Kluyveromyces lactis: one gene and its partner. The protein of the gene in region 1 interacts with the protein of each later gene in a pairwise test. Links are inferred from orthologs where the notes say so. Each region holds a gene or a part of one and is shown on either strand. Other genes may lie near its edges. The genes, in order: ZNG1 and MAP1.

What was found.
Region 2: the proteins of ZNG1 (region 1) and MAP1 interact in a two-hybrid assay, tested with the Saccharomyces cerevisiae proteins (2 studies listed by BioGRID). The link is inferred for Kluyveromyces lactis from reciprocal best matches to the Saccharomyces cerevisiae genes ZNG1 and MAP1.

What each region holds. Positions count from the first base shown.
Region 1 is NC_006039.1:752,864-756,128, reverse strand, and holds ZNG1 (GTP-dependent zinc transferase), read right to left. Parts: upstream 2,032-3,265; coding exon 763-2,031; downstream 1-762. Other genes in the region: KLLA0_C08635g (uncharacterized protein), read left to right, coding at 1-573; ALG12 (dolichyl-P-Man:Man(7)GlcNAc(2)-PP-dolichol alpha-1,6-mannosyltransferase), read left to right, coding at 2,248-3,265. UniProt on the Saccharomyces cerevisiae protein: Zinc chaperone that directly transfers zinc cofactor to target metalloproteins, thereby activating them.
Region 2 is NC_006040.1:1,553,669-1,556,913, reverse strand, and holds MAP1 (methionine aminopeptidase MAP1), read right to left. Parts: upstream 1,960-3,245; coding exon 832-1,959; downstream 1-831. Other genes in the region: chaperonin-containing T-complex subunit CCT6, read right to left, coding at 1-176; CDD1 (cytidine deaminase), read right to left, coding at 2,486-2,929. UniProt on the Saccharomyces cerevisiae protein: Cotranslationally removes the N-terminal methionine from nascent proteins. The N-terminal methionine is often cleaved when the second residue in the primary sequence is small and uncharged (Met-Ala-, Cys, Gly, Pro, Ser, Thr, or Val).

The DNA of each region.
Region 1 (3,265 bases):
CCACATGTGGGTCCTTTCTCAATCTATGGTTATGCTTTTGACGATGAAAATTTCAATTTGAAACACGACAGACCGGGTCGTCTATCTATGGCCAATTCGGGCCCAAATACAAATGCATGTCAATTCTTCATTACTACCTCTGAAACACCGCTTGAACATTTGGATGGTAAACACGTTGTATTCGGCCAAGTGATTTCAGGTCTTGAAGATCTAATGAAATACGTGCAACATGTTGAGACCGATGATAAGGACAAACCAGTAAATGACGTTTCAATCACGTACACTTACACTGAAGAGTTGAGGATTGCCGATATAGAGAAAATGCACGAAGAGTATATAAAGAAGGTGGAACAATTCAGAAATGGTGACACTTCTGTTGGGATTACTTTAGAAGAGGAACTTAAAGAGGGTGCTAAGAATGAAGTTGAGTTGGAAAATGATTACTACTATTCGCAACACCCATATGCTAAATTTGTGTTCGCGTTCTTGTTCATTGGTGCTTTGGTCACCGTTTATGCCAACAGAAGATCTATCATTCCAAGAGCTAAAAACATTGTCTCTGTGAGATCATGATCCTCTTTTGGAGAAGATTTTGTTACTTCATGTCAAAACAACAACATACTATAACTATATGCTCAGATATTTTTATTGGAAAGTACCAAAACTAATGGAGAATGAATAAAGTAAGTAGACGAAATACAACCGATATTCTTTTTTTGCTTTCTTTCAAATGTTACATATCTACTTTAAATACCACTTGTATTATTTCTGACTACTTATTGCTTTATTAAGCAAGTGCCTAATATAATTCTCATCCAAATGTTTCCCGATCAGGACAATTTTATTCTCGGTAATGTTAGGCAGCTTTTCACCAGGGATTATATCATATGTGTCACGCACTCCTTGAATGACCTTGCATTCATTTCCAACCATTATCACACCCTTAGTTCTGTGCACTTCGAAATCGGGATTCTCATGGTGAGCTGACTGCAAGCCTGAACCAGTATCTACCCCAAAATCTTTCCATAACAAGACTTGAAGGAAATCTTTGATAAAAGTATCAAGCTGATCTTCTGTTTGGAAAAAGGGGAAAGCTAAAGTAATCGTTGATATTCTATGATCATGAAAAGTAGTTGTGTAGTCTTTCTGTAGAAACTTGGTACTTTCGAATGCGTTTAAATCCAATACGAGATCCAAATTGATATCCCCGAATTTCGTATAATATATCGGTGCTACTGTGTTGATGGAGCGAACAACGTTTTCTAGGTCATATTTCTTTGATTCATCTCCTTCAATTTTATCCGATTTGTTAACTAAGATTGCATCGGCCATAGCTATTTGTAGATGTGCAATGGTTGTTTTTGATTCATCATCAACCGTAACTTTCTCTCCATGCCAATGGGCAGTAGGAGAAATATCATCAAGACAAGTTATAATATGTTCACTATCAAGAACAGTTATAATTCCATCAATGTATACGTTGCTGTTCAAGCCTTTATCTTGCCAAAACATCTTTGCTATGGGTCCGGGGTCTGCAATACCCGATGTTTCCAATAAAATGTAATCAATTTTACCTGGAGATCGGGCAACCATATCTTCGATCGCTTTTACACCAACATCCTTCAAAGAACAACATAAGCAACCGTTACCCAAATCTAACCATTCTTCATATACTTCACCCTTGTTCTTGATGGTAATAGACTTTTCAATTTCTGAACTATCCCCAAATTCGTTCAATATAACTGCTAACCTTTTATTGGAGCCCTTTAACGCTATTTGTTCCAATAGAGTTGATTTACCAGCACCAAGATATCCGGTTATGATGGTGACAGGAATCCGCTGCTGTCTATCAAAATCCTCGTCCAACTGTCTATTAGCCAAAGCGATCTTTTTATCGCTCACAATGTGTTTCCCACCATCTGGTTTATATGTGTCCAATATTTTCTTTAAATCAGGTTCATTCCCAGTAACAAGAACGGGAAGTTCTCCATCTTCATCTTCTTTGAAACTAAAATCCTTAAGTGCCGACATTGGAGTACTAACTTGAGGTATTATATTTGTCTTCAAGTAGTTTACACGGTTCGTTATTTGTTATATATTTACTAGCCGATGTTGGTGATGATGATGATGAATCCTTTTCATGAGTGATGAGCTTTTCGGTATAAAAAGTAAGAGATGAGGTAATTTCTGAAAACTTCTACCCTTTAACAATGAACAAAGATAAATGAGAAAGCCAACCATCGAACAATGGACGGTATATTTGATCTAACTACAGTTCTTACTTGTGCGGTGTCGCTACATTTATGGTATTCACCTTATACTAAGGTTGAGGAAAGTTTTACTTTGCAGGCCGTACATGATATTTTAACTTATGGTGTATTTGACGTTTCGAATTATGACCATGTCACTTTCGCCGGTGCTGTTCCGAGAAGTTTTGTTGGTCCATTAATCCTCTCAGCGCTTACCTATCCGTTCAATTTGACTATCTCAAAAGATCCGTTTAGAACCCAGATGTTGGTGAGATTTTTAATCGGCTTAACGAACACTGTGGCGTTAAACAGATTCATTGTAGCTGCGAAGAAAGCCTTAACGAAAGATCAGGAGCAAAAAAGTGGGAAGGAGGAGACTACATCAACCACAAAGTATACTATTAGTGCATCTGATCTAACTAACTGGTTTGGATTATTCACTGCTACTCAATTCCATTTAATGTTCTACAGTTCAAGACCTTTGCCAAATTTTGTCATGGCGTTACCATTGTCACTATTAGGTTTGTCATGGGCTTTGGAAGAAAACTATAGGTGGTCAATTATATTATTGTCCTTTACTGCTATTGTTTTTAGATTAGAAATTGCTGTATTGGCGGTTGGTGTAGCTCTGGGTGCCTTCTTTTATGAAAAAATCTCATTGACATCGATTGTTAGGACCGGGTTCATCGGTGCTGGAGCCGGAATTTTCTTATCTATTCAAGTTGATTCTTATTTCTGGAACCGTTTAACTGTTCCTGAAATCGAAGCATTTATATTCAACGTTGTCCACGGAGAATCTTCCAAATGGGGTACCCAACCTTTCTTTGCATATTTGACGGGGTATCTTCCAATGATGTTCATCCCGCCAACTGCACTACTTTTGAACCATCTAGGGTTCAAGATTGGCCCAAATTCATTCAGGGTCGTAGGAATTGCTGCATACTTTCATGTTTTAGTCATGTCTTTGCAACCCCACAAAGAATGGAGATTTATCATTTATTCGAACCCACCAATTA
Region 2 (3,245 bases), on another chromosome or scaffold:
CCATCTTTGGTCAACTTGATATTACCGGCACCATCGACCAACATTTTCAAAGTACCCTTAGGTCCTAGGTTAGTTTCCAAAACGGATTGAAGACCCTCCGCTGAAGTGACGTTGACTTTTAAAGCAGCATCTCTTCTTAGGGACTCGGCCTTTGGATTTAACAACTGAACTGACATAATTATCTTGCTTTCTCTCTATTATGCACTGCACGTAATTGGTATTGTCAAATTATGACTTTTGATCTGGATAATAAGATGCAAGCAATTGACTGCAATGAATATCACAACTAAATATTAGAGAGTATAGATTGATTTCGGTTCTATTAGAATCAACGTTGTGGACGAAAATGCAACAGTATCTTTCACTCTTTTGAATGTTATTCTTCTTCAACACCGAACGTTAGCCATAATTAAAAGCTTTACTTTCTCCATCAGAAAACTTAGATCACTGTTTTCGATTAATTTTTTTTCTTTGGAAGTGGCGAAAGCTAATGGTTACCCGGTTATTGAAGCAAAGCAACAATCCATGCTGTCGTGATCCTCATATTTATGCAAAGATGATGAAGATTATACTTTAGTAGGACCGCACATCTTCAGTATAATAAATACTAATAGTGGTTTTCAATGAGAATTCTCTAAATATTTTGGTCTTCTGTAAATTGATTTATATGATGATATGTATTGAATCTATTCACATGAAAGACTATGCCGAAATGATGTCCGTTATGACGACGATGATGGCTGTTTTATGGATTGTTTCCTATACGAAACGAGGTAAACAGTAACTTTCTCTATTGATATTCATTTTTTAACTATTGTCATTTCACTGGGTCTATTTTATCCTATTTCTTGGGCCGCCTGGAGACTTCTTGTTCCTTGCCGTCAAGACTTCAACACCATTCTCGGTGACCAAAAGGGTTTGCTCAAACTGAGCACTAACTTTACCATCCTTTGTTGAAGAAGTCCAATCGTCAGGCCAGGTGATATCTTGCCATACACCTTCGTTAATCATAGGTTCTATAGTGAAGACCATTCCAGGTTTCATGACACCGGGCGTTCTGTTGTTAGCATAATGTGGAATGCTGGGGGCACAGTGGAAAAACTCACCGACACCATGACCACAGTAAGTCCTAACAACAGAGCATTTGTTGGATTTGGAGTGCTTTTCAATGCAGTCTCCCAAGGATTGAAAAGTTACGCCTGGTTTACACATCTTGATGGCGAGTTTCAAACATTCACGGGCAGTTTCAACGGTATTTATGACATCCTTGGCGATAGTCTCACCAACGTAGTAAGTTTCGTTTAAATCTGCATGCATGCCTTGGTAATACAATGAGACATCTAAATTGACAATATCTCCCTCTTTTAGAACATATTTGTCAGGAACACCATGACAGATAATCTCGTTCACAGAAGTACAGACGGATTTAGGGAAATTATAGTAGTTGAGAGGAGATGGGTATGCTCCCCTCTTGATAGTCTCGTTATGCACTATCTCATCAATTTCATCCGTAGTGATACCTGGTCTAACTGCGGCGGCCGCAACATCTAGCACTTCTCTACCTAGAGCACAAGCTTTTCTGATCCTCTTAATTTGCTCCTTATTGTAGACAGGAATCTTGTTTGTTCTATCATTTCTTTGTTCGATGATGGGTAGCCCATTTTCTGCCCAATCTGGTTTCTCGATCTCATCTGGGACCTGTCTTTTTGGCGACAGAGGGTATTGAGCTTTCAGCTTGCCAGTATACTTGAATTTTGGAAACGGATCATACACCTCACCAGAACCATCTGTACCATAATGTAAAGCCTTATGCTGTTTGTACCCGTCTTTGAAACAAGATTCTCCACAAAAGACCTCTTCAATACCTTGCTTCAAGCAAATCGGGCATTTTAACATCGAATCTGTAACTTTACCACATTGTAGACTAGAACAACGGACATTAGCGATTTTTTCCTGCATTTTTTCCTCTTAGTGTCTTCCAAGATTTACAGCTGCTATGTCAGTAAGTGCAGTTCAGAAACACCTTCTATATCACTTGGAATACGTTTGGTATAAATAAGTGAGAGAGAGGAGTAGAAAGAGCTGTATCTGAGCTTCTCTCATCGCATCTCGTTCTCATGTTCTTTATTAAAGGTCGAAACAAAAAATTTTATTTGAAAAGTCAGATGAGTTTAAATGTCATACTTTTCTTTTAATTCTACAGTGCGAAGACTCCGCATTATCTATGACACATTTCTAAATATCTTAGGAACAACCTCGGTTTAGGGCGATTGAGAGAATAGTGCTTAGAAAATTTTGATTAACTGGCGGTTACTTCTGATCCTAAGTAGCTAGCTTATGAGAAGGTGTTTTCCAAAGGCATGTTTTCTTAACTTTCTCTCAAAACGCTAATGAATAATTACTATATAGAACTTTCTTGATTTTTGATTTCGTTTCTTACTATGGAAAAGTTCAAATCTTGCACAAAAAAGAGTCGAATCTTAGCTCACCTATGAAAGTGATCTGGGCCGAAGCTTTCTGGCAATAGTTCATTGAGGGTCATAATTTTTTTGACAGAGGTGTCGCAGTTTGTCATTATTATTGGCAGATCTTCTTTTCCAAACTCTCTGATCGTTTGCCGACAGATTCCACATGGCGGAATGTAATTATCTCTCATATCGCTGTTGATAGCGACACAAACCCAATCTGCTCTGTGGGAGCTTGTGACAGCTTTCACGATAGCAGCTCTTTCTGCACATATGGTGGCTCCATACGTAGCATTCTCCACATTGCTTCCTGTGATATAAGTACCATCTTTTGTCAGTATGCAACATCCGACCCTAAATTTTGAATATGGACTATAGGAACCACTTTTTGCTTTTTGACTCTCTAAAATGGCTCTATCTACCTGTGTAGGTTCAATACCGTCCAGTTTGCTCTTGATCTCCATTTTATACTGCAATGATGCGTATTCAGTAGCGAACTGGGTCCAGCGTGTATTATACGCTCGCCTCTTGGTTTCTTTATACAACGATGGCTGATATCTTCTTGTGTGAGAAATACATCGTTATCATATCGAGATTTTATATAATGAAATATGTCACTATCTGCTTGATTTCGTCTTGGCTGCTTTTACTTACAAAAAATTACCGTTGATCGCAAAGCACATATGAACTATATGTATGTAAATATAGTAAAGCTAACAGTTCCCGTTTGTCTACTGATACAGTTTTCCCGCCATATTAGATGCTCGCAGGGGTATAGTA